Astyanax mexicanus: one gene and its partners. The main gene of each other region encodes a partner of the protein of the gene in region 4 in a complex. Links are inferred from orthologs where the notes say so. Each region holds a gene or a part of one and is shown on either strand. Other genes may lie near its edges. The genes, in order: nup214, nup85, ranbp2 and nup93.

Region 1 (7,213 bases), on a different chromosome or scaffold from region 4:
TCAATCTAGTAAAACCGATCAGTTCTTACCGATTTCATTAATGTTTCCATCCACTTTCGCGGCGGCGATGATTTCCCGAGTCAGATAAACCTTCAGAGTTCTGTCCAGACCCACAAACGTCACGCCGAACTTATTAGAGATCGCCAGAAGACCAGAGCGCTCCTTCTGCAGATCATCAGGAGAATCAAACACCCGGATCTTCTTCATCTGACGAAACTGAAAATCCTGTTACAGAAATAGAGATTAATTAACTTATTTATTAATTTAATTTAATGTTTTATTAATCTAACTTTAACATGCTTTTATGACTACTTTTACTTATTTTCTTTATTAATAACCCAACCTTTTTAATATTACTGGGTTTTTTTCTCTCTAATCTTTAGATTTAGTTATGTATTTTATTTTTGTTATTATTATTAGTATTTTTTTTGTCTGTTACTTGTATTATTAATTGATTTGGCAATAATGTATGTAACTACATTCATGCTAATAGAGAGAGAGAAAGAGAAAGAGAAAGAGAGAGAGAGAGACAGCCATGAAGAGATGTAGAGTAGTTTTCTGATTTAAATTTTTATTTAAAAAAATGCAAAATAAAAGAACAGCAAGAAAACTAGGCTATTGAGGTAAAACATTTAGAAATCTGTTAAAAGTCAGTAATAAAGTCTAAATGGTAAGAAACATTGATGCTGTTGTAAAGTTGTAATTGTTAATAGCACAAACCTAGGTAAAATGCAATAAATATTGAATAACGGTAATAAGTTTACAAAATGACACACAACTAATACACTGAAAAAAAAATTGCAACATTTGTCCCAACAACATCTAAATATGTTGAGTGCAACATTTAGACAACACTGATAAAACAGTGTGGAACATTCAGACAATAGTTCAACATTTAGGTAATATTGCTGCAAAAAAAAATCTGTGCAAGATTTAAACTGTTGCTAAAAATGAACAACTCAACATTTAGACAACATTGATAAAAGAGTGCAACATCTGGATGACATTGTTTCTAAAACAAACAGTTAAACATTAAGACAAATGTTGTTACTAAAAATAAAGAACTCAACATTTAGACAAAATTGCTAAAACAGAGTGCAACATTTGGACAACGTTGTTACTTAAGCATAAACTGTTCCACATTTAGACAAACGTTGCCAAAAAATAATTGATTCAACATAATAAAACGACTGTGTTAGAAAGCTGACAATATTGAGAAAACATGTTTTTGCTGGCTCACTACTTAGCGTTAGTTCAACATGAAGAAAACGTTGCTTAAACAACAGTTCAATATTCAGACAATGTTTTTGATTAAATAAACAGTGATGCACTAAGAAAACGCTGATAAAATAAACCGCTAAGCATTTAGAAAACGTTGTGTATAAGAACAGAAAGTGAAACTTATAGACAATGTTGAAACTTAGCAGTAAGAAACTAAACAACGTTGTGACAACTAGCAAGTAAGCTAGCGTAAACTATATTCTTAAAGGACGTTTAGAAAACGTTATTAGTGTAGTTTTTAACAGAAACTAGAGTAGAAAACATCAGTAATTTTGTTATTAAAAAGAGCTGATATTTAACTAAACGTTTAGCTAACTAGCTTAGCTAACTCTGTGTGTATATATATATATATATATATATATATATATATATATATATATATATATATATATATATATATATAGCAGGCTAGGCTAGCTCAGTTTTTTTTAGTTAAAATTAGAGAGATTATAATAGTAAATACAGGTATATGAGCTCCAGAAGATTTTAACCAGTTTAATAATGATTAATATACTTTATTAATCTCAGACAGAAGCTGTAGTACACTGTAGTTTACAGGAGTTATGAGTCTAATAAAACATTAACAATGCAACATTTAGATGTTGCACGTTTAGACAACATTGATGAAACATTCAGACAACGTTGCTGATTAGTCAAACACTTCAACGTTTCTATAATATTGCTACAAAAAAATCTGTGCAACATTTAAACAACGTTGTTGCTGAAAACCTAAACCGTTCCACATTAAGACAACATTTTTGCTAAAAACAACTTAACAACTTAACATTTAGACAACGTTGAAAGAGTGCAACATCTGGACAACATTGTTCCTAAAACAAACAGTTAATCATTTAGACAGATGTTTTTGCTAAAAATAAACAACTCAACATTTAGAAAACATTGCTGCAAAAAAATAAGTGAAACATTTTTTTCACTGTTGTCTAAGAGTGCAACATTTGGACAACGTTGTTGCTAAAATAGACAATTTAACATTCAGACAATATTGTTGCAGTGCAACATCTACATAACGTTAAAACAACGCTGTAAGAAAGTTGACAACATTGTGACAACTTCATGTGTAACTACTTAGCGTTAGCTAAGTTAGCTAACGTTTGAAAGTGCGTTACTATTATTAATAAATAATAAATGTTAGTTAGACGTTTAACTAGTAATACAGTATCAGTGTAGTTTTTAACAGAAACTAGTGATAAAAACATTGATAAATGTTTATTTCAGATTTATACGATTAATAAGAACTGATATTTAGGTATAAGTTAAGCTAACTAGCTAAACTAGGCTAGGCTAGCTCAGTTTGTTTCAGTTTAAATTAGAGAGATTATAATAGTAAATAGTACATATATGAGCTCCAGGGGATTTTCACCAGTTTAATAATAATTAATACACTTTATTAATATCAGACATAAGCTATAAAAGTTGTAGTTCACAGTAGTTTATACAGTATTTAGCTGGATTAGCATTAGCTGTTAGCTGTGCGCGCGCTGTAACTTTACCTTCATATCCCGCTCGGGGATCGGGTACTGATCATCCCCCATATTCCCGCCGTTCAGTAGAGCAGCCCGCAGTACCCGGATCTACAGGATCTACAGGATCTACTGGATTATTATAGAATTACAGATATTTCTCTCTGTAAAAATAGAATTATCAGCTCCTCATTTCTACACTACACACACTGCAGCCATGCGAACACACACAACTGCGACAGCGCTCACAATACACAATAAAAGTCCTCTATCGCTAGATAAAAGCGGACATTACACAATAAAAGTCCTCTAACGACGCATAAACGCGGACATTACACAATAAAAGTCCTCACTCATCCGCTAAAAGCGGGCATTATACAATAGAAGTCCCCTATCATCTGATACAGTTTCCTTTCTTCATAATAAAAGCTTCATTAGCACTGTGTTTTTTTAATGGAAGCTATTAATGCATCTCAATTATTAAAAATATGATTAAAAAGTGACTTTATTTCAGTAGTGAATATAACTACTGCTTACAAGACAAAAGCCTTCATATATACAAAATAAAAGTCCTCAAAGTTATACTAGACATGTTGAAGATTTGTATTTATTTTTTTAATCATTTGTTTAATTTTTCTAGAAACGTTACATTTTACTCGCATTAAATCTTTTAATATTTAGGATGGAAAAACATTGTATTATTATTATTATTATTATTATTATTATTATTATTAAATGTTCACTTCAAGAACACAAACAAGAATATAAACAATACATAACACACAACACACATAAAAAAGAAGATAAACATAACAAATTGAATCAATGTTGAGTGTGCACAAATGAATCAATTTAAACTCTCAGCATATCTTATTCTTAGCTTATTTTATTCTTTTAAACCATTAATTCTTATTAATAACTTATATACTGAATTTAATGGCCCTTATAATTATAACAATTATAATAATCATAATATTTGTTTCTAACTTTTGTAGTTACTGTAATTGATATTCTTCCAATTACTTAAAATATCAGCTTGTTCATAACAAGTAAACTGGCTTAATATTTTATAGCTTTAATTAGTTATAAGTATCTTAGATTTGTGGTTGGTGGAGTGGGTAAATGCCAGTGTTTCAAGGTGCCTCTGTGTCTATGTTACCTTCTGGCTCTATTCATTTAGATATGCTGTTATATTCAGATCTGCTGGAGTCATTAGCCACAGTTCTATTCCTATAAACTAACAATAAAGCATTATACATTCTCAAAGCAATGTAAATCCAACATCTAGTAAAAAAAAGTGTTCCCTGGACAGTAGATGCAGTTACTCCAACAAAAGCAAAATAATTTTTTTTTGGCATATTCCACTGAATCTGTGCCATTTCTGTCTTCACGAAATTACATGTATAAATGTGCACACAAAATAACTTTAAAATACATTTTATTATTGTACACTGGCCTAATTGCAAAAGTAAGATATGTAATTAAAAACATTAATAAAAACTACTTAGAACAATGAATAAAAATAGCATTTTATACCTGTTACCCCACTCTCTAACTATAAACTTTACCATGAAATATAATTATTAAAATCATTCAGAGATGTATTTTTTTGCATTGTTGTGTGACTCTAAATCCCATCTATGCTTAAAAATATATTTTCATAATAAATTCATTATTTTAAGGTTAAAATACACATTTTAGTTGTGTCACTGTGTTGTGGTTTCACTCAGTCCTGTTACTGTAACACATTACCCTGATCATCTGAAACATCTGGAACATTCTACAACAGGAAGTCACATCTACAACAGGAAGTGACATCTACAATAGGAAGTTGGTTCTTCTGAAGAATAAAATTCCCGAAGTTCCCTCATTAGTTTTTCTGTATATTTGATCTTATTGTAACGATGACTGAGGAGCTCAATCTCAACACTCAGTCCTGTTACCTAAATTAATTCTTACATCTTATTGGTTTATTTTTTTAAATAGAAATTTTGGAAAAAATCACTAGAATGTGCTCAGTGTGCTTACGCTATTGGCTATAATTCTAGGCTAAAATCTCATTCCTGTTACTTTCAGTCCTGTTACTTAAAACATAAGTAACAGGACTGAGTGCCAGTAACAGTAGTGAGTGCCAGTAACAGGAGTGAGTGCCAGTAACAGGAGTGGGTGCCAGTAACAGTAGTGCGTTCCAGTAACAGGAGTGAGTGCCAGTAACAGGAATGCGTTCCAGTAACAGGAGTGGGTGCCAGTAACAGTAGTGCGTTCCAGTAACAGGAGTGAGTGCCAGTAACAGGAATGCGTTCCAGTAACAGGAGTGAGTTCCAGTAACAGGAGTGAGTGCCAGTAACAGGAATGCGTTCCAGTAACAGGAGTGAGTGCAAGTAACAGGAGTGAGTTCCAGTAACAGGAGTGAGTGCCAGTAACAGAAGTTGAAAAAAGATAAAAAATGACCCTTTTAATACCCTACATTTCGTAATAATAAACAACACAGGAAACGTTTTTGGTGAAATAAGGACTTTTATTAGAAAGCAGTTTTTTTTTTCAGTATTGCATTTGAAAAGGAATTAAATCACTTGAACTACACAACTTCAACCCAAACCAGAATCTGTCGTTGGTGGAGGAAATCGATTGGCTGATAAAATGTGAATGATTTAGTCGTATCAGGATGTAGTCGGTGGTATTTCACGTTTAAAGTCTAAAGTGTCGTCTGAAGTCGTAAACAACGTTTTTTTTTTTTAAAGGACTTACGTGTTTCACACTTTAAAACTCTGAAGCACATGTACTGAATTATCTCATTCACACAGTATTGCCATACTGAAAGAAGCCTGGCCGCTAAAGGTAGTTAGCCTAGAACGTAACGTAACGTTAGTTAGCCTATAGGCTATATCGCTAGCTAGCTGTTTTACACCCGTGGACTAGCATTGTCTTGCAGGTTTTTACAGTAACTGTACATAAGCATGGACAGCGCAACGTCTCTCAAAAGTCTCTTAAACATAAAGCCACCACAAGTCTAGCGCCTCTGCTGGCTGGTTGCAGAATGACGGGTAGCTCCAACCATTCCCATATGTTTTAATTACATAAAAAAGCCCCGCCCATTTCCCATCTCACATCAAATTTCTCTATTCTAAACTGTCTTTTTCTCTCCAGTATCCAACAATTCCAACAGTGTTATTCTTCTATATTGCAACAAGTAGGCGGGGCTACATCATCAAGTGATTGACAGGCGGCAGCCTTGTCTAGAACAGACCAATCACCTTTATTATAGGGAGCATCCAGCTAATGTTAGAAAATGTTAAAAGAATGTTTAGCAACCTTTTGAAAAGGTACCAGAAATGTTAACCTGTAACGTTACGGAAATGACGTTCCAAGAACATTCTGAAAACTTGTGACGTAACAATGGTTTGCATTAAAACGTTATTAGACCGCTTCTCACATAGCATTCCCAACTAGACGTATACCAACATTAGGGAAATGTTAAAAGTTAAAACTAAATAAAAACTGGACGCTTTGAAGTGTCGTTAACTCGATGACGTTACAGAAAGTTCAAAGCAATAAATAAAAAGATTCTAGAAACATCCAGAAAATAACATTCTAAGAACGCTAAATGTAACGTTCAGAAAACATTCTACTAACCAAAAGTTGTTAGCTTAAAGGATAAACTGCTTCTGGTACTTTAGGCTACACTGTAAACTCAATGCAGGCGGTCTGAGACACTTGAGATTAGTCTGGAATAAGGGCAGAGACTCTGGTTGCAAATTTGTCAACATGGCGGACATAGCATTAGCATTAGCATAACGTTAGCATTAGCTGTTGGTACCCAAAGCAGGTTGTACAGGGATACAGTAGGCTAACTTTAAACAACTTGCACAAAGAGACACTAGCAGAACCTGCATTAGCTTTGTAGAAACAAGCAAAGCCGGAAAGTTATGCTAATATGCTAATACTTCTCCAAGAACATTACTGTATGTTGGAATTTTCCAACAGTATGTTAACGCTAGCGGTCAGTACCGAAAGCTAGTTATAAATCGATACAAGAGCTTAACTTCAAACAACTGGTTCAGCATTCAGTCAAAATACGACCAAAATAGATGCTTGGAGAACCTGCATTAGCTCAGGAAAATTTGCAGTAGCTTAGCTAGCTAGCTAAGTTAGTTAGCTAGCTTGCTAAGCTACGGGCATGGTCTGAGAGAAGGGGCAGGGCTACCAAATGAGTAGGTTCCGAGTTCGGAGGGGAATGGAGCCAAGGCGTCCATGCTTATATACCGTCACTGGAATTTTGCAACAGTACGTTATTGCTAGCGGTCGGTACCAAAAGCTAGTCATTAGCGCTAGCGGTCAGTACCAAAAGCTAGTCATAAAACGATACAAGAGCTTAACTTCAAAGAACTCGCTCAGCATTCAGTTAAAATACAACCAAAATAGACGCTTGGAGAACCTGCATTAGCTCAGGA
Region 2 (7,319 bases), on a different chromosome or scaffold from region 4:
CACAGTCGTCTGACGCTTTGTGCTATTCTGTTGCTGCATTTAATTTGATCGCTTCAGAAAAGACCACTGGTGGACGCAACCAACTCAAACATTTGGGAGAGGAGAATTCCCTCAGATGGTTAAACCCGACGTAGGGGCTGTGTTGTCAGACGAATAGAGAGTGCATAGTTGAATGGCAATGAATGCAAGAATAAGATTAGAGAAGTGAGGGTAAATAATTTTTTTCCGTCCAACCGGCCCAAACTCGCCCCGGCCCATCGGGAATCCTCCCGATTAGCCACTCCGGGCTTGTTTAAATAATTTATTAATTCAATATAATAATAATTATATCAATATAATAATAATAATAATAATAATAATAATAATAATAATAATAATAATAATATCAAATTATATTAATAATAATAATAGTAATAATAAAAGTGTGTGTGTGTGTGCAGTTTTAAAAAAATCTACAAAATATTCAGAATGCTAACTAAAATAGAATATGTCAAAATAATGTCAATATTATTATTATTATTATTATTATTATTATTATTATTATTATTATTATTATTATTATTATTATTATTATTATTATTACCATTATCCTATATTAGACTGTACTATTTATTTTATTAAAAATGTTTATTCTTTAAATTAATAAAATATTTCAGTTACTGTCACCAAGAACATTATTATAAACACACCCTGTAGCTAAATGGCCTACAAAGTACTACAGTATATTAAGCTAACTAAAATAGAATATGTCAACATCTAATAATACGTACTTGTAACTTTCTGACAGGTAATATTCTCACTCTAATGGTAACCTAATCCTAATCAAATATTATATACAGTTATCTTTCACTAGTGGCATCAAATATTTTCTAAGGTGATGTTATCGTAAAACAGTACTGAGGGAGCTGTGCTGAGCTGTGAAATGGTAAATTCATGTGCGTTGTGTCTGACCCGTGTGTGTAAACCTGTGTAAGGAGAATGAAAATTAAGATTTGTGCAAAAGAAACACTCATTCATAAATTCGTCAATTAAATTCTGAACGACGGAATTAATGCGTTGCTAAAATATATCATAGAACCACAGCCATACTTGAAGTAGCATAGAAAATGAATGTGGCTCATTTTAGACCCACGCTGCCCGTTTGAGCGGCAGCGATACAAAAAGGGCTTTTATTTAAAAAGTAAGAAAGCAAAAAATAATATAAGGATGTACCATGATCAAAAACAATTTAATTAAGGAATACCTTGAATACTGAATGATTCGGAATATTACGATCTCATAGTGAACAGTTTTTTTTTTTAAGAGTGACCCTAAAACGTATAGAATCTCTACACAGATCTGCTAAATGTGTTGCTGGATTTTGTGTGTCCGGTTGATTTCCTAATTTCTCAATTTATGCATTCATTCTGTATGCTGTGGTGGTCTCTGTATTGCGCGTTTTATTAAAATCCCCAATGCCTTCGAGAGAGAGTGTGTGTGTGTGTGTGTGTTGGCTGGCTCAGGTCTTGCGGCATCAGACAAATTAAACATGATTACTAAATAGGCCAGCAATGAAAGAGTTGATAAAAAATAAGTACATTTGATTACATTTTGTTATGTTTTAATCAGGGACTACATTTTGCAAAGCCCAGTTTAGCCAGAAATACATGAATCTAGCACATCTAATAACACAGCAGACATTTGAAGCACTTGGGGGCTTTTATTTTAACAGGAGATATAGTTCCCTGACAGAGTCAGAGGGCTGAACTGCTTGGAGAAGGAGGGGATATGTATATTCTGTCCGTTTTTGCATATGGAACGCCTGGAGGCGTTATGAAAACGCGTGGTGGCGTTATGTAAGCGCCTGGCGCCGCCACACGCTCTTAAACGCCTGGCGGCGCCTCGCGTTTGTTCCAAGGCGTAAAAGTAAGCCCTGCACGGCGTTTTGGACGGCGTTTTTTAAGTATTTCGCACGCTTTAAGCGCCGTCAGACCCAGGCGAATTCTGACCCATTTGGCTTGCCATATTACAGTGATATGATCAGCCCACCTTTAAACAGTAGTTACAAGCCTTTAAATCATTAACACAATATCCAAACACTTTAAACTACACTAAAGAGCACGTGCTGTTATTTTGTGTGAAACTTAAGTTTAGAGTTTGATCTGTTAATTCACTTCTTAACCAGCATCCAAAAATATTAAACTCCCGTTAAAATTAACCATCTTTCTTTAGAGAAAAATCACTAGGACCTCAGAGTCAATAAACTAGTAGATTTATTTAGCACTAACTTAGCCAGTTTAGCTTAGCTTAGCCAAGGTGATCCGTTGAGTTCTGCTAAAATCGATATGGGCTGCTCAGCAGCTGTTAGAATTCATACATTTACAGCCTTTAAAGTTTTCAGGTGTTTTTCATTATAATTCACTTTTTCCTTGGTACATTATACAATCTGAGCCTACTGACAAGGCAACACAAAGCCACAGACCTACCTAGCCAACATATTAGCGCCCATTCCACCATTAGAGATATTTACATTTTCCATTTAGAACTGTGCACAAGTTGTTATTGCTAGCTATCAGTCAAAATGGCAGATGACAGACATGCTGAATGAGGAGTCCAGCCACTTACTGGAATAGGAATGGGAGTTCTAGTAACCCTCAACCCCAGCTGCTTTATGGATAAGTCTCGCCCTTCAACAAAAAGAGCCAATCAGCTTGCTGGATGTGCCAGAGCAGAGGAGGGTGATCTGTGCAACTGCAGTAGCCAGAACAATCTGAAAAATTATGTTTTTTGTGCATTGTTGAGCCAAACGCTACAAACTGTTCATGAGGTTTGTATCAGATTTTATCAGTGATGTCAAATCTGTTTTTTGTATCAAGACTGGGTCCTTGACAGAAAAAATATCAACGTGCTGTAAAGGCTAAAAGTACCACAGCATAAGAGACTCTAACCTCACACAAATCTAAACTACCTCACACACCTAAAACCCACCCTCACATCCTAACCTCACAAACACCTAAACTACTTCACACACCCTAACCTGTTACACCTAACACACACTCTAACCTCACACACCCTAACCACTTACACCTAAAAAAACACACCCTAACCTCACACACCTTAACCACTTACACCTAAAAAACACACACCCTAACCTCACACACCTTAACCACTTACACCTAAAAAACACACACTCTAACCTCACACACCCTAACCACTTACACCTAAAAAACACACACCCTAACCTCACACACCTTAACCACTTACACCTAAAAAACACACACTCTAACCTCACACACCCTAACCACTTACACCTAAAAAACACACACTAACCTCACACACCCTAACCCTTTACACCTTAAAAACAAACACCCTAACCTCACACACCTTAACCACTTACACCTAAAAAACACACACACCCTAACCTCACACAAATCTAAACTACCTCACACACCTAAAACCCACCCTCACATCCTAACCTCACAAACACCTAAACTACTTCACACACCCTAACCTGTTACACCTAAAAAACACACACTCTAACCTCACACACCCTAACCACTTACACCTAAAAAACACACACTCTAACCTCACACACCCTAACCACTTACACCTAAAAAACACACACTCTAACCTCACACACCCTAACCACTTACACCTAAAAAACACACACTCTGACCTCACACACCCTAACCACTTACACCTAAAAAACACACACTCTAACCTCACACACCCTCACACACCCTAACCACTTAAACCTAAAAAACACACACCCTAACCTCACACACCTTAACCACTTACACCTAAAAAACACACACACCCTAACCTCACACAAATCTAAATTACCTCACACACCTAAAACCCACCCTCACATCCTAACCTCACAAACACCTAAACTACTTCACACACCCTAACCTGTTACACCTAAAAAACACACACTCTAACCTCACACACCCTAACCACTTACACCTAAAAAACACACACTCTAACCTCACACACCCTAACCACTTACACCTAAAAAACACACACCCTAACCTCACACACCCTAACCACTTACACCTAAAAAAAACACACCCTAACCTCACACACCCTAACCCTTTACACCTAAAAAACACACACCCTAACCTCACACACCTAAACCACTTACACCTAAAAAACACACACTCTAACCTCACACACCCTAACCTTTTACACCTAAAAAACACACACCCTAACCTCACACACACCTAAACTACCTTACACACCCTAACCACTTACACCTAAAAAACACACACCCTAACCTCACACACCCTAACCACTTACACCTAAAAAACACACACCTAAACTACCTTACACACCCTAACCACTTACACCTGAAAGACACACACCTAAACTACCTTACACACCCTAACCACTTACACCTGAAACACACACACACCCTAACCTCACACACACCTAAACTACCTCACACAACCTAACCTTACAAACACCTAAAAAATACACTCCCTAAACTCTTAAACCTAAAAAAAACACACACCCTAACCTCACACACACCTAAACTACCTCACACACCCTGACCTCTTACACCTAAAAAAAAACACACACCCTAACCTCACACACACCTAAACTACCTCACACACCCTGACCTCTTACACCTAAAAAAAACACACACCCTAACCTCACACACACCTAAACTTCCTCACACACCTAAACCTCTCCCATCTTAACCTCCCCTTACACACTTAAACACCCTCTCACATCTAAATTTCCCCTCACACACATATAAACCACCCCTGACACCTAACCCCCTCTCACACACATAACCCATTCCTCTTACACACATAAACCATCCCTTATACACACCTAAATCCCCAACACACATCTAACCACTCCTAACAGTGACCACAACCCCCTCATGCACCTAAACCACTCTTAACAGACCTAACTCCCCGCACACACCTAAACCACTCCTAACAGACCTAAATCCCCGCACACACCTAAACCACTCCTAACAGACCTAACTCCCCGCACATACCTAAACCACTCCTAACAGACCTAAATCCCCGCACACACCTAAACCACTCTTAACAGACCTAACTCCCCGCACACACCTAAACCACACACACTTTAACGACCTTACATACCTAAACCACCCCTAACACACACCTGCACCACCCAACACACCTAAACCTTACACACCTGAACCCCACTAACACCCCCCTAAATCCACTAACATACCTAAACTAAACCAGACACATCTAAACCACACACCCAAACCACAACCCCCTCACACATCTAAACCACACACCTAACACACTGCTAAAACAGACCAAAACCCCCTCACACATCTAAACCACACCAACACACAAAAAGCCCACAGTTAAACCATCTTACACACATGAACCTCACACTTATCTAAACCACCCCCACACATAAACATCCCACACCTAAACCACCCTTCACGCAAACAATAACCTCACACACTCCTAAATCATACATAAAACCTCACACACCTAAACCACCACCCTCCACACTCTAACCACCTTACACACCTAAACCACCCCTCACACAAACAGTAACCTCACACACCTAAACCTCAGATGCACCTAAACCAGCCACCTCCACACTTTAACCCCCTCACACACACCTACATCACACCTAACACACAAACCTACACTTAAATGACCCCTAACACACAAATTTCACATGCCTAAACCACCCCACATACCTACTAAACCTCACACGCCTAGACCCCCTCACACACTTAAACCACCCCTCACACGCACCAAACACACTACCTCACACACCTAAAACCCACTCTCACATCCTAACCTCTTACACCTAAAAATAACACACACCTAAACTACCTCACACACCCTAACCTTTTATACCTTAAAATATACCCTAGCCTCACAAACACCACCTAAACTACCTAACACACCTACAAAAACACACACCTTAACTACCTCACACACCCTAATCTCTTACACCTAAAAAACACACACCTAAACTTCCTCACACACACCTAAACTACCTCACACACCCTAATCTCTTACACCTAAAAAACACACACCCTAACCTCACATACATCTAAACTTCCTCACACACTCACACCCTAACCTCACAAACACCTAAACTACCTTACACACCCTAACCTTACAAACACCTAAACCACACACACGTAAACCTCACACACAAACCACCCCAATACACAAAAAGCCCACACAGTTAAACCACCTAACACATAAACCTCACACATACCTAAACCACCCCCACACAAACAGTAACCTCACACACATTTAAACCTCACACACTCCTAACACACACCTCAGCCTCACACACACATTTAAACCTCACACACTTAAACCACCCCCACACACACCTAAACCTCACACACATCTAAACCACCTTACACATCTAAACCTCACACACATAAACCTCTCTCTCACACACACCCACGTGTTCATTGCTCTCTATGATCATAAACGCGCAGTATTTTCAACATTTAACACGAATTTGCAGTAAATTCGTCTGAAAACATGGCGTGCGCGTGCACGAGCGATGCGCACCACCGACATTCTGTACAGGTTTCGCGCATTCGTGACGTCGCCGCTCGCGCCCCTCAGCAACCATCCTGCCGTACAGAGCGGGTGCGCGCACGTTCGCCCGTGGTCGCGCCCCAGCCGCTGTGGCTGTGAAACGAGGGGGTGTCGAGCGCGCGCACGAATGCTCTAGAATGGCGATGATGGGGGGAGGGGAGGGGAGGGTTGCGCGCGTACGAGCGCGTGTACGTGCGCGTGCACGGCGGGAGTCTCTTTGTGCGGGCGGCGAGAAATAACACACAATAACGATGGCGGACGAGAAGCCCAAGGTGAGAGAGAATTAAAATTAATATAATAACAATAATCATAAAATAATTCGCAAATCACACAGAAGATACGGCATGAAGGAAAAAGAAGAATAGAGTGATGGAGAATTAATGGAGAGTTTGTGTGTAGAATAATTCCGCGTAGTGGATAAATACTGCAACTGCTGTTGTAGAATCGCCGGAAGAGTCGTGAACGCGCATTTAGCACGTTAGCTAACATGCTAGCCAGCAGCGCGGGTTCAAGCAGCGTAATGAATGTACGGGTGCTGGTTCGGGTTTACAGCACAATTCTGTGAAATGCGGGAAAACACGGACCTTATTTAAGCGCTGATGTGTTAAGAGTAGTAGAGAGGTACAGTCTGAGAACTTGGGCTTTGTTTTTAAGCCGGTTTGAAGACTTTTATAGCAGAACAGCCGCCCAGCTGCGGGTCGGTGTCTGCAGGCTGCGCTGTGTGGAGCGCTGGAGTCTGGAGAAGTGGAACAGACTGAGAACATG
Region 3 (6,882 bases), on a different chromosome or scaffold from region 4:
ATAATATGTCTCTAGTAGATATATAATAGGAATTTTCTTTTGCTTAAAACAGCCAAAAAAATAGTACCCTGATGTGATAATTAGGGCACGATATTTCAGGATAAAATATTGTACACTGTATTCAAAAATGTTAGCGATATTATCGTGTACGATACGATATGGCACACCTCTATTCTGTATTTAAAACAGCAGATACCGTATGCGGAATAAACATCACACAGCTGTAAGTCTATTTGAGAAGCAGCATAAGAGCCCTAACTGTGAGTACCTTTACCAGCCTTACTCTGAGTAGCTCATACACCAGAACAACTCAAGCTGGAAGATGAACTGATAAATATGTCTCTTTCTCACTCTTTCTATCTCTCTTACATACACACACATTCTCTAACTCACACACACTAAATAAACTGTATTTCAGACAGCTGTGATCACTTTCTGATGTTATATATGTGAGCTACAGTATAGTTAGTTCTGCACTAATATAGTAAAAAGTTTTATCTTAGCTGTATCTAGTGCCAGGTGTCCATTTCAATTTAATTTCTGACTTGATAATTTTGGTGAAAATGAGTAAAACCTGTATAGTTTATTGGGTTTCTGAGTTTGTTTCTGGGTTTCTCAAGTTGAGCTCTCTGATGTGATGTGCGTGTCATGTTCATGTGTGTTCTTTTGGCTATTTTAAGCAGTTTTTGGGGACAGTTAGTTGTTTCACAGTAACTGATTTTTTTGTTTTTGTTTCTTTTGTTGAGTTTTTTTTTTCATAATATCTTTTTGAATCCTGATCCTCACAAAAGTATGAAAAAAAAAACAAATGCTAGAATTAATAAAAACTAACGTTAACTAAAACTAAGCAATAATAAAGAAAATAAAATAATAAAAACTGGCACACCAACTCTAAAAACTAATTAAAACTAACTGAATTGAAGGAGAAAAAGTGGAAAAAAAAAAAAAAAAAGAATCTAGAATGAAAATTTCAAAACTATTATAACCTTGCTCCGTCCATTATCACTGAAAACAGCCGACACTAATTTCACTCTCAAATGTAAGAATCTAGAAAATTCTAAAGGGTTCACAAACTTTAAAGCACCACTGTACATCGAACATGATCTCACAGCTACAGTGAAATTTATCTGGAGTCTTTATATTAAGGTAGGATTTTAAACCATTTTTAAATTCCCTGTCTAACTTACTTGACTAATATCTACATATTTATACACATAAAAAGTTTCCTGTTATGTAAAAGGGTGTAATTGTATAATTATGTTTTTAAAATGATTAATTATTAATAATCATAATTATAATAATAATAATAATAATAATAATAATAATACTTAAATTGCTCACTGACATATTGGGGACAAAAACATCATACCACACAAGAATAAAGACAATATAAAACATACTTACAAAGCTTACAGAAACTGTATTTTCAGATATAACGTTATATAGACTAATTCTGACGAATAATACGACTAGTTTTAGGCATTAATAACAGTAATCTTACTATTTCTTTAAAAGATAGTTGTACTTTAGCTCTGATACTGTTCAGACATGTGAACTGCATCTCTCAGCCAGTCAAGGCCGGTTTAGATATGGTGAATTAGCATCAGCACCAGTAAGGATTTATTACAATTATCAGACTTGTGAGATTTGTACGGAAATGTGGAATTAACGTTTAGTACATGTAAAATAAATCAGTGTAGAGAGAGAGAGTTTAACTTGATCTTTAGAACCTCCCGCCCGTTTACCGCGCTTTCCTACAGTCAGCGCTAATGCTAATAGCCGGGTAACTGCGACTGTACAGCAGGGAGGTGTGGATAATGCGGTATAAATTATTAACGAAGAGATACGGGGTTTATTAATCTGGTGTTTATAACCCGGTTCACATTCACAGTGAACAGCTAAAAGCCCGCAGTGTACCGACTGTTCTCACTGAGGGACCGCTAGCCTAGCCTAGCCTAGCATAGCATAGCTAATACCGGCGACTCTGACACGCGCAGGCCTTCAGCTCCAGCCCCGCGCTGCCCTCACACACTGCGGCTGATACACACCCTGATCTACAGCTGGAGCTCGGTCAAATTCAATTCCGCAGTTCTACACATTAAACTTTAAACTGACCAAGTCTGAAGGAAAACTAAATAGCGCTGGATTCAGTAGAAACGTACTGATAGAAGAAAACACTGAATACAAGCTACTTTAATACATTTTAATGTTGATTATGGAAAAAAAACTTTAGTTGTTAAAATTCTGACACTGAATAAACCATCATTTAAAGGCTTTGGCTGGTTGGTGCTCTTCTACTCTCAGAACACAGACAGTTACCCTAGTTAACTGACGCTACCTAGCGTTAGGTTAGTTAGCTATTTAACGCTCAACGAGCTCGCTCACTTTCGATCTCTAATGCATTAATGTAACGTTAAACTCCGACATCAGAATTCGTTGAATTAACGTTGATTAAACAGTATGGTAGCGTTATGTATTGTATTTGCATAACGCTGTATTGTTAGTATTCAATTCTTATAAATTCTTAAAATAAAATATCTTAACTGTGATCTTGCATTGTAGCTGACGATAATGATGATGATGATTATTATGATTATTATTATCATTATTATTACTGGGGGGGGGGGGGGCTGGGGGGGGGCGTGTGAGCGTTAAAGTGCCACAAACACTAAAAGCCCATAACTAAATGAACTTAAGAAAGAGGGGGGGGGGTCTTCTCTACACAGAGCTGCTTTTGCTGGAGCCGGCCCTGGTAATGCTAATGCTAATGCTAGCGCTGGCGGGCGGTTGGTACCTGTGTGCGGGCGGGGGAGAGGCTCTCTACGGAGGAGATGTAGCGCTCCACGTCGGCTTTACTCCGCCTCATGTCTGAATCTGTCTCTGGGGTGGCGGGTGATCTGTGTTTCGCTGTTGTTCCGCTGTTACTCCGTTAATACACCGCTCTGTTTGAACACTCGCCGGGACCGCGCTCTTCCCCGAACCTGTCAAATATGGCCGCTCTCGTTTACCTTATCGCGAGATTTCCGTCCGCATCACACAATCCTATCACGCCTCCCAACAAACCATTCAGCCTATGAGGATTGAGGACGAACGTCCCGCCTCTAGAGTCGCAGCCAATAGAATGAAAGCTGCGTGTTTGCCGTCAGTGCAAGCGTGCTGCATGGAGAACAGGAGCTCCAGTGTTTTACAGTATATTACCTACGCTGTCCTTTATACGGTATATACACACTGTTCTTTCCACAATATATACACTCTACTTCACACAGTATATACACACTGTCCTTTATACAGTATATACACACTCTCCTATACACAGTATATACACACTGTCCTTTATACAGTCTATACACACTGTCCTCAACAGTCTATATACACTGTGCTTTATACAGTCTATACACACTGTCTTTTATATGATATATATACACACTGTCATCTACAGTTTGTCCACACTGTCCTTTATACAGCCTATACACTGTCTATATGCATGGTAGTGGTGTGTGAGGTGATGGTGTTTGTTTTGCTACAAGTTGATTAGATGCAGCAGTGCTGCTGGTGCTTTTTTAAACACTGCAGATATTTATAAAGATATAAATATATGTACATACTGGCTATACAAATTGTATTATAAGTAGGGTATTCTTTTTTTATTATTAATTTATAACTGGTATTAATAATAGGTGTGGTGTGAACAGAGTGGAGGCGTGAAACTCTGATGTCAGGAATCTCGAGTATTTTTTTTGGTATACATTCATTTTATTTAAATTATTTTCATTTCAAGCAATAGGCAGTGAATACTAAATAAACTCCAAACAAATAACATATACAATCCAAAGAGAAGCTGAGGCAAATCAGTGCACCTCATAGCAATACAATAACAATACATTCCACAATATATGCTAAATTAATATGCTGTATAAATGAAGTAGTAATATAAACTGAGTTTACACTGACTTCATACTGAGTATGAAGTCATACCCTCTATGGCATGGATTGGCTTTTAGGCACCAAAGAATATTTTTGATAATTGAATTTTCCTTTTAATGTCTTTGTCATTATTGTGGCTAGTTTATTTTCATTTGCATACTAAAACAGGGTTTTTTTATTTTTGTCTCAGTGCAACATTGTGCAGTTATTTTTTAATGGATATATCAACAGGCTACAATATTTGTTCCCAATAAATATGAAAAAAATCATGCTACAGTGGGCTAACCGGAGTATTCTGGGATGTGCATGAGTGAAAACAGGGTGGAAATAAGCGAGTTTAACACAGCACCTGTGAGATCCCAACCAAATACTTTGTGAGACACCCTGAAACTGCAGGTTAAATAATCTTCATTTTCTAGCTGTTCATGACCATATTGCAGTGTGAAGTTCATGTTTTACGCAATGTTTTTATCACGTCTTATTCTGTGAGATTATTGTCTGGCTGCAACAAAAATCTGATTATTGTCTGATGAGTTTTTATCTGTATTATGAAAAGCATGTAAATGCACTCAGTGAGAATCTAACTTAAAGCTACAGTAATCACACCACAGATCTAGGGACAGTGTTAGGCTTGGATTTTTGTTTTGTATTGTTTTTAATTGATTAACCACATCTCCAAATGTTTTTAGAATTTTCACAAAGTTATAAGATAATCTAAAAATTATGATTAAAGTCAAACAATATTAAAACATTAAAATCCTGGTTACATTGGTATTGCAAAGTTTGGGCATCCCTGATAATTATCATGATTCATCAGTCCACAGCACCTTATTCCAAAATGAAGCTGGCTTGTCCAAATGTGATTTAGCATACCTCAAGTGACTCTGTTTGTGGCGTGTGCTCAGAAAATGCTTCTTCTGCATTAATTACTCTTCCATACAGCCACTCCTTGTGTAAAGTGCTCTAAATAGCTGAATGTTGCACAGTGACTCCATCTGCAGCAAGATGATGTTGTAGGTCTTTGGAGCTGATCTGTGGGTTGACTATGACTGTTCTCATCATCCTTCTCCTCTGATTATCTGAGATTTTTCTTGGTCCGCCACTTGGGGTCTTAACTAGAATTGTGTCTGTGGTCTTCCATTTCCTCACTATGATCCTCACAGTGGAAACTGACAGCTGAAATCTCTGAGATCTGAGCTTTTTGTATCCTTCCTCTAAACCATGATGTTGAACAATCTTTGTTTTCAGCTAATTTTAGAGTTTTGTTTTGAGGCTTCCATGTTTCCACTCTTTAGAGAAGATGCAAAAAGAAAAAAAAACTTGCAATTGGCCACCTAAACCTTTCTCATAAATAGATTCACCTGTGTATGTAGGTCAAGAGACAATGAGCTTAAACTATTTTGAGAACGAATTAGTGCTAAAGGTATTTAAATTAATAAAACAACAAGGGTGCCCAAATGTATGCACCTGCCCAATTTTTCTGTTTACAGAATTATTGAACACTTTCTGTAAATCCAATAAACTTGTCAGATATTACAATATCATCTGATATATTTCACTGAAATTGCCGATCTGAACAACCAGTGATTTATAAAGGAAATCATGAAAATGATCAGGGGTGCCAACTCTGTATGCATAACACTGTATGCTGGTTTAAAACTTGTCAATGCATGTGTACATTTCATACAGTGACATTTTGGACACACCTTAAATTCAGTGTTTTTTCATTATTTTAAAATGTTCTGCAATAAAGATTAATATTAAAGTCATTCAAACTATGAAGAAACACATATAGAATTATTTAGTAAACAAAAATATTAAACAAACCAGGTAATGTTCAAAGTATCACCTTTTGCTTAGATGACAGCTTTTTCCATCTTAGCATTTTCTCAGCCAGCTTTATAAAAATTCATCATAAACCTAATGATGAAACTGGCTCTCATCAGAAAATCCCCCAAAAAAGAAGGGCAAGAGTTACCAGTGTTGCACAAGATAAGTTCAACAGAGTTACCAGCCTTAGAAACCACAGTTAGTTAACAGCACCCCATATAAGAACCCACCAGGGTATCTGGGTATTGCAGAATATTTTGGGTTTGTTTAACACTTTAAAGTTACTATATGATTGAGTATGTGTTCCTTCTTGGTCTGGATGACTTCAGTATTTATGTACAATATAGGATAAAATCATTGAATATTTATAACAAATACTAGAAAATACTACAGTACACATCATCAAATTTCTGCACTTTCCTCATAGAACTGCAACATTTCTGAAAAAAAAAAAAAGAAAAATTTGATTATTGAAAGTGTAATAGATGATAAACACAGTGAAAAAATGAAGAGAACGCAGAACACTAACCAACTGCTGGCGAAGATCACAGACAGATACCCATCTTCCTCTTTCGCTCCTTGGAGTCGTGTTCACGCTTGGCCAGTCTGCGCTTCAGCTCCTCCGGCATTCTTTCATAGCACTGTTTACACACCGGTTTCAGATCCAGCTCCACAAACTTCTCCCTGATAAAAACCCAAATCACTCACAAATCACTCTATTGGATATAATTACATCATGTATTTATGCTCATTAATCTAGTAAACCTGTGCATCCTGAGTACTGACATTCTCTACTGTAAGAGTGGTATTTTCACATTAGCTTTTTTTCACTGGTCCTTGTAGTTCTTTTTTTCTTATTTTTGTGAGTTTGGTTTAGTTTGGTGCAATGTGAAAACTGCTATGAAGCAGGAAGCAGTCTGGTCTTCCTGAAATCAGTGACCTTGGTTTATTTTTTTAAGTGGACTCTAGTGCAGTCCACTGCAGGTGTTTGGAACATTGATGATTCCACTTTAACATTACTTCCCTTTCCATCAGGATATCTTTAAAGTACACTGGAGTGAGGGTACTACTGTACTAATAAAGGACACTGTGATAGGACTGTAATTACACAGTCATTGAGAAAAAAGG
Region 4 (7,818 bases):
CTTTCAGGCACTGCCTAATTAAAAACTGTCCTGTGACGCATCTGGGATGTTCAGTATGTCACTTAGGGACTTTGTGAGTTAAAGTGAAGGGCAAAGTTTTGTAAGAAACTGTCCACATTATTTAAAGTGTATTTGACATATTTTACAATGAGCCCTTTTAGGGACCTAAAAAGCTGTAGCTGGAACACAGAAAAAGTATAATGTAAAATTGCTAAGATTGTGTTAGCTAATGGCCAGGATATTTCAAGACAAGATTTTGGCTATTATTTATTAGTTGATTCAGGGTGGACAGGTACATGTAATGCTCTGTAAGGACAACCAGTACAGACTTACAAAATCTGTAGATAAAGCAAATTGATTTTTAGTTCATATCACCTCCAAGATTCATGTTAACACTAGGACTGAACCAAACTCATTTTAAGTAAAAAAAAAAGGATCCCTGTAACTGCGCCAAGAGTGAGAAGCTAATGTGTTACTTTTATTTTGCTTTTTAGTTATGTTTACAAGTCAGGACATTGACAAACCAGCAAGGCGAAGTGTTTCATTTATTAACTGTAGGTTAAATGCACAAACTGCTAGTACATATTCTGCAAGAAAAAGATGTTTATTCAAATTCAGCTGGTCATAATTTAGTTGTCCAGGGAAGGCAAATTTACAAAACACAGATTATTCTTCATAGCTTTTTGCTTACTAGGAAACATTTAGTTTTATTATTATATTGTGCAATTTTAACATACAATTTCTAGCCCTTTTCTATTACTTGTATCCCAAAGGTGTGCATGCCTGCTAGGTGTAATTGGCTGTATGGCTTCCCTTTCTTTTAATTTACCAAACAAGGGAGCTTTCGAGCACACTTTTGTGAAAGCAGTTACATATGCTGTGACCTCATGATGTTTATCAAATCAAACCAATTCAAAAATGGACAAAAAGAAATTATATAATTGTGAATAGAATAGAATATCTTTGAAGGAAACATCAACAATCAACATTGGTTTTGAAGAGCTTCAGAGATAAACTTATATACTATATATTATATTATATTATATTATATTATATTGTATTTTTTTTTATTATCCTTTAAATGATTCTCTGATACTGACCATAAAACATAATCATCCCTAGTTCCTATCACCTCATTCATTTTAAGATTCGTCACTAGGATGACCGAAATTTCAGGATCGTGAGGGCATCACCCCTAAGCCTTGTCAACATTAGAGATCTATTAGTCAGGTAAACACTGTAAAGAATAATCCTTGTAATTACAACAGCAGACACAGAGCAGTAGCAGCAGCAGCAGAAGGAGGAGGAGAAGGAGGCTATCAGAGTTTTAGATCTTTCTCAGTTCTTCACAAAGCTGGATTTCACAGATTATTCGGTAATTTAAAAAGAAGTACCGTCTCTCTTCACAGAAATGAAAAATTACGCTCAGTCATAGATAACCCTCTACACTCAACGAGTGCAAAACTCTACTGCTGTGTTTTGTTTACTCTGCTCTCGCGCGAACAGAGTGGGTGCACACGGCCTCAGAGCGCACGCGCTGCTTCACCAAGCCCTGTGGAAGTGCCGTGTGCAGCGTGTGACCAAAAGCAGCATGATTACAACACAGCATTGTATTACAGATAATCTCAACTTTTAATCAACTGCTGAGATAAAAATACCATGATGTAAAAAAAAATCTAAAATCTTTCTGACCTGCTGAAAATCAGTAATTCATTTTTTAAATAAAATCATTTTTTGGGACATTTCTCCCAGATTAAAAAAATAATATTATTAAAATAAAAATATATATTGTCATTTAGTGCATTTATGTGCAGACCTCAAACAATACACAGAAAACAAGTTCATATTCATAAAGTTTTAAGAGTTCAGAAATCAATATTTGGTGGTATAACCCTGTTTTTTAATCACAGTTTTTATGCATCTTGGCATGTTCTCTTCCACGAGTCTTACACATTGCTTTTGGATAACCTTATGCCACTTCTGGTGCAAAAATATAGATTATAATAGAATAGAATAGAAACTATACTTGTCACCAACTTTTACTAAGTTTTACTTTTCACCATTAAACATGTAGCTGCGTCTATATACTGGTTCCCATCGTCTTCTATCCAGCATTTTAAAACGTATTAATCTTAAACATCGTCTACAAAACGTCTCTAAGGACATTTCTTCTCTTTTTAAAACTATTTTACTAATAATTTCGCAGAGTAATCATGTTTACACAATCTCATTTTAAAAAGCTACTTTGGTTGGAAAGGGCAGCCCTTCTTATGTAATTCCGTAAACAATGCTGACATTTCAGTGGTGGTGATAAATGGGGGTCTTAATCATTGTCTGATGGTTTGCACCCAGTCTTGGTGGCGTAATTGTGGCGCTCCATGAGGTAAACCGTGTGCAGGCAGAAGGGGTGGGGACGAGGAGGAGGGGGGTGTGGTTTTGCACTCGTCCTGCGTGAGTTCAGTTCGCTATAAATTCACTGCATTCATTCACCAAATACATTCAGCCTTCCCTCAGGATAGAGCTTCTTTTGAAAGATATCCACGACTGAAACGAACACATTTGAAGAGAAAATGGATCCCTGTGACTGCGCCAAGAGTAAGTAGCTAATGTAGCATGTCACTCTAGTTAGTTTTTAGTTAAGCTTTAGTCATTACGTTGATGGGTGAACAAGTTGTAGTGTTTTTATTAACTGTAACATTATTCTCTCTGTAGCTGGAAGCTGCAGCTGTGGTACAAGCTGCAAATGCACAAACTGCCAGTGTACATCCTGCAAGAAAAGTAAGTTTATTTCCACTAACATAAATTTAACTTTTTTTTTTCTTTCTCTTTTTAATTTAGTATTTAAAAGGGTCTGTTTTTAATTTGTAGTTTTGTTTATGTATATTTAAGCTGGAAAGTCAGTTGTATTTTTTTTTTTTTTATTTTAGTTTGGTGTCTTAATTAAGCTTAATTAAAAGTTGCTTATATATTTTTTCTTCTTATTTTCAGGTTGCTGTCCATGCTGTCCATCTGGCTGCAGCAAGTGTGCTTCTGGCTGTGTATGCAAGGGAAATGCTTGTGGCTCCAGTTGCTGCCAGTGAAGAAAGGACTGTTACTGCCAATCAGGATGTACATATTGTATTGCCTTTTGTACTCTGTAGCTTCTAAATAAGTAATGTCTTTTTAAGGGAAATGCCAATAAATAACACTGCTGTATCTGAGTCTTTTGAATTAACATTTTAAGTGTGAGTTTCTCCAGTCTACTAGAGGTGGCCTTTTTACTAGTCTTAAAATTGAGTGTATGGAGGTAATTTCATTTGAGTTTGATAACTTGCAAGCATGATCAACATGACCAATAGTCAGCAGCATGATTGACATCAAATGCAACATGCTCTATGTTGACCAACTGCTTATTAATAAAATGCCATTGGTCTGGGAGCAACTGAATTCAATAAATGAATGAAATGGGCCTGTTCAACTAAAAATGGGGCAAAGTTTTATCTGCAACTTATTTTAAACAAACCTGACTTAAACGCTAAGTTGAACTGTAGACCTAACCTTTCAAATTAGTACTGATCTGTTTGTCCATATCCAGCCACCTCTCTTTTGATATCTACTGTGACCAGCAGCACCAGTGAGTGGAGGAGGGTCCATCATACTATCCAAGAAAAATCAAAGGTAGTTGTAACCTTTGACTCCTGACTACAGATGGCTATAGCAGATCACCGGGTTGCTGGTCTAAGCAATCTTTATAGCTTTTTGCTCACTAGGAAACTGTTTTATTAACATACAATATCCAGCCCTTTCATATTACTGGTATCCTTAAGGGTGTGCATGCCTGCTAGATTTGCAAGGCATTCTTTTTCCTTTTCTTTTTTTAAAGTTTCCCAAACAAGTAAGCTTTTAAGAACTTACACATGCTCCACTGTGACCTCATGATGGTTATCAAATAAACCAATTTAAAAATGGACAATCAATTATTTAGGTGCAAACAGAAACTAGTATCTTTAGAGGAAACAATCAGCACTGGTTTCGAACATTTTCAGAGGTGATTGTAATTATATTAATGTTTAATCCTTAAAATGATTCTCTGCTAATAACCACTTTTCTATTTTAGCAGCACAATAAAAAATAGCAGCAATTATTACAACCAGCATAGTGGCAACTGTGGCATTTGGTGCTTAAGTAGAAGTGTTATATAATAGTGAAGGGCCCTAAAGCCAAGTGCCTAAATTCTGCCTTAAACTCACTTTCCTCTCACCTTCCCTCCAACAACTTTATAAAAGTTTACCTAATGGAGGGCCTGGGAATGAGCAATCTCTTTCCGTTCTACAAAGCCCTATAAGTAACAAAGTAGAAACAGACATAAATTGCTCCTTCAGTTTTATAAAGTGTTTCCTCAATTTAACTATCAATTTCATCATATTGAACTTAGTTAGTTATTAACTTTAGAAAAATGCTCAGTCTTGAAATCTTGTCTACCATAATTCTATCTAACTTGATACATTAGGGGCTAAGTAATGTTATTCTGGTTGAGTCAATAGCAATATAAGGCCACTCTAAAAATGTAAAGTTGTAATATTCCAAAATTAAAGTCGTGACATTACGAGATTTAAGTAGTAATATTACAATAATAAAGTCGTCATATTACAGGATAAAAATAGTAATATTACGAGAACAAAGTCGTATAGATCCACATGGTTTGTAGATCGAACACGCGTTTAGGACACAGCCCAGCTCCTTTTCAAACCAGAAGGATTTTATAAATAAAGTTATTTTGTCTGCGCATGCGCGTTCTGGGGAGTCCCCAGCCAATCAGCGACGCCGTAGAGAAGAAACCGGGAGTGAAAGAGAGGACGGAGCGGTGGATTCAGCTCTACTGTCAGGAACAGAGTTTTGGGATTAACTTGTGGACTGTAGGGCTTAGGAGAGAAGAGGTGAGGTGGAGCTGCTCTGTGTAATAATGGTTTAAAGCTGTGATAGTGGTTATTCGTTTAGAAGAGGGCATGTTGTTGTTATTCCCCGCAGTAAAGAAGCATGTGCTCTCAGTTCAGTAACGTTAGCTCCAGCACTTCACTCACACTGCGGGCAGCGCTGAGCTCCCGGCGACCGCCCGCCAACCGGGCCCTTTAGCCGGGCTAGATAACTGCTGTGACCGTCTTTTTAAATATGAACATAAACATGAACAGCGCACACTGTTTACAGATAGCTGGGCGATTTAAGAGCTAATAGTTAACAGTAACGACGTCTTCAGACTAAAAAGCAAACACACTCGCTAGCTTTAATGACTGCAGCGCCTGATTAGCAACACTAGCAGCACCTCGTTTCTTCAGACTGTGAAACGTGTGGTGTAAACATTACTGTAGGGTTTTTATACTAAACCAGCTAAACTAACCTAGCTATCTAGTTATCTTCTAACACATTCCCGCCACCTAAAATTATAGTAAAAAAACACAATTTTTTCTTATTAAGGAAACTACAATTTGTACTTGTATTTTATATTGCTGCTGCTTCCATACGCCTTATATTTTTTATGTTTTTCTGTCTCTTATGACAGTATTTTACTCTATATTTTTGTTTTTATATTTATCTATTTTAAATTGCTTTTTGGGTGGAACTGGACCGTGGACATACAAATTCGTTCCACCGTATGTATCACACATAATGTGAAATGACAATAAAATCTTAATGAATCCTTTAATCTCATTTTGAGATAGTAACTCGTTATTTTGATATACTATCATATTATTTTATCTCAAATTTTACTGACTTAGTGTCTCAAAATAATGATTTTCTATCTCAGAATAACGACTTACTATCTCACTACTGTTTCCTTAATAATAATAATAATAATAAGTGTAAGTATTTTACTTAGGTTTGAACATTTTGCTTCTTGAGTTGAGGGAATGATTTAATAAATTGATTCAACCACATATTCAATTAGTTTTTATTTTAATTTTAAATCAGGAGCTCAGTAGTCAGTTATGTAACAGTCGTGCATTTTATCATTCTCTCTGTCAGGGGTGTGCAAAATAAACAAAAAAAAACGGGCTGGTCTTTTAAAATATTATTAATAAATGATTGTACCCCACACGGTACATTGCTATTCATATTTGAATTTCATTTGAGTGCAATAACTGTAACAGGATATCAGAAGTGCAAATAACATACTGATGCCACAAGTAAATGGAAAAACAGAAACATCTTGTGGTCCCCTAATAATGTGTTCTTAAAAGTAATTCAGATAGCCACATTTGGCCCCAGGGAAAGACTTTGGAGACATCTGTCCTCTGGTTAACAACAATTATTTATATAAAGCAAGTTTGTTGTAATCTGTGTTTCTTACTAAATAAATATGGTGATTAACAACACCTTATAATGTCTCTGTTATGGAATCATGACAACAGCCTGTAACTGTTATTAAATAAACTAGTATTACTTGTGATTTGTAAGATTTCAAATTTTCAATTTTTTTAATAATTAAAATTTGAAGTAAATTTTTACTTTAGTTTTAAAATGTCAAAATTCTGCAAACTTTAATTATTTACTTCAGTTTAATGTGACTAATAAAAAAGTATGAGTATTTTAAGTATGACATTTTTTCTCCCCATCATCTCATTATCTAAAACTGTGTGATAATAATTTTGTTCTGTTCTTTCGTAGGCCACCAGGTGAAGCACATGGATGCCGAGGGCTTCGGGGAGCTCCTGCAGCAAGCAGAGCAGCTAGCAGCAGAGACCGAAGCCGTGTCTGAGCTGCCACATGTGGAACGGAATCTGCAAGAGCTTCAGCAGGCTGGAGAAAGGCTGCGTTCCCGCACTCTTACACGTACCTCTCAAGACACAGCCGATGTCAAAGCGTGAGTTCTCACCTGTTCAGCACATTTGTGACCATATTATTCTGAAAAAAACAATATTAAATATATATTAATAAATACACAGTTCACTAGCCCCCTTCTGTTCGAACTGCTCTTTGACCTCAACAACAGTGACAATTTAAGTACCATTGTTTGATGTGAATAATTTTGAGAACAGATTAACAGAATAAATTACTAAACAGATTTTTTTTTCCATCCAGCTCTATTCTGCTGGGCTCCAGGGGTCTGGATATCTTTCATATTTCTCAGCGTCTGGAGAGTCTAAGTGCAGCCACAACCTTTGAGCCACTGGAACCAGTGAAGGATGCAGATATCCAGGTAAAGAATTTATGTAACTGATGAATAGTTTCAAATGTACATAGGACATTTTTTTAATTTGACAGATCAGTACATACAGAAAATTGAGCGATATTTGATAATTGAGCCCTATTTTAGCCCCATGATGTAACCACAAGAACAACACCAACAATAAGAGTATTAGGTTCTCATAGTATCTACTTAGGAAGGTCAGATCTGAGTATCATCTTGGGGTTGTTGCAGAAATATTGTTGAAATCTTGCATATTTTTGGCTGTATTGGAGTGGTAAGAGGAGTTTCTGTAAAAATTATTGCCCCAGCTATGTGGTGTCCAGGGGGATATGTTTTTGGAACTCACTTTAAGATTGTGGTGCCATGCAGCTTTTAGATTGAGGCCTGCTTCTGACCATTCAGCTTTTCTGCTGTGCACACAGTTCTTCTGTCTGGCATTTGAGAAGGAGTAGGCTGGACTGAGCCACACAGTTATGGATGGCGTCAGGGTTCTTTCGATGGTGGGTGGATCTGAGACAGAACTGTTAAAGAATGCTGAGTATCTACTGCTCTCTGAAAATGGGCATTTTCTGATGAGCTTTTGTTCGCTGTAGTGACTAGGGGTGGGCGATAGGCCCTAAAATAATATCATGATATTTCATGGTATTATCGCA

What was found.
Region 1: nup93 (region 4) and nup214 share a complex: the UniProt entries of both Homo sapiens proteins name them as parts of the nuclear pore complex. The link is inferred for Astyanax mexicanus from reciprocal best matches to the Homo sapiens genes NUP93 and NUP214.
Region 2: nup93 (region 4) and nup85 share a complex: the UniProt entries of both Homo sapiens proteins name them as parts of the nuclear pore complex. The link is inferred for Astyanax mexicanus from reciprocal best matches to the Homo sapiens genes NUP93 and NUP85.
Region 3: nup93 (region 4) and ranbp2 share a complex: the UniProt entries of both Homo sapiens proteins name them as parts of the nuclear pore complex. The link is inferred for Astyanax mexicanus from reciprocal best matches to the Homo sapiens genes NUP93 and RANBP2.

Annotation. Positions count from the first base shown.
Region 1 is NC_064408.1:3,828,382-3,835,594, forward strand, and holds the start of nup214 (nuclear pore complex protein Nup214), read right to left. Parts: upstream 3,015-7,213; 5' UTR 2,835-3,014; coding exon 2,793-2,834; intron 226-2,792; coding exon 30-225; intron 1-29. UniProt on the Homo sapiens protein: Part of the nuclear pore complex. Has a critical role in nucleocytoplasmic transport.
Region 2 is NC_064410.1:17,650,341-17,657,659, reverse strand, and holds the start of nup85 (nuclear pore complex protein Nup85), read right to left. Parts: upstream 3,004-7,319; 5' UTR 2,605-3,003; intron 2,556-2,604; exon of another isoform or gene 2,466-2,555; intron 1-2,465. Other genes in the region: sumo2b (small ubiquitin-related modifier 2), read left to right, coding at 6,806-6,826. UniProt on the Homo sapiens protein: Essential component of the nuclear pore complex (NPC) that seems to be required for NPC assembly and maintenance. As part of the NPC Nup107-160 subcomplex plays a role in RNA export and in tethering NUP96/Nup98 and NUP153 to the nucleus.
Region 3 is NC_064418.1:23,985,964-23,992,845, forward strand, and holds the start of ranbp2 (E3 SUMO-protein ligase RanBP2), read right to left. Parts: upstream 3,006-6,882; 5' UTR 2,867-3,005; coding exon 2,795-2,866; intron 1-2,794. Other genes in the region: LIM and senescent cell antigen-like-containing domain protein 1, read right to left, coding at 6,300-6,438. UniProt on the Homo sapiens protein: E3 SUMO-protein ligase which facilitates SUMO1 and SUMO2 conjugation by UBE2I. Involved in transport factor (Ran-GTP, karyopherin)-mediated protein import via the F-G repeat-containing domain which acts as a docking site for substrates.
Region 4 is NC_064416.1:22,512,635-22,520,452, forward strand, and holds the start of nup93 (nuclear pore complex protein Nup93), read left to right. Parts: upstream 1-4,795; 5' UTR 4,796-4,916; intron 4,917-6,642; 5' UTR 6,643-6,659; coding exon 6,660-6,838; intron 6,839-7,056; coding exon 7,057-7,174; intron 7,175-7,818. Other genes in the region: metallothionein-1, read left to right, coding at 2,571-2,595, 2,713-2,778, 2,989-3,080. UniProt on the Homo sapiens protein: Plays a role in the nuclear pore complex (NPC) assembly and/or maintenance. May anchor nucleoporins, but not NUP153 and TPR, to the NPC. During renal development, regulates podocyte migration and proliferation through SMAD4 signaling.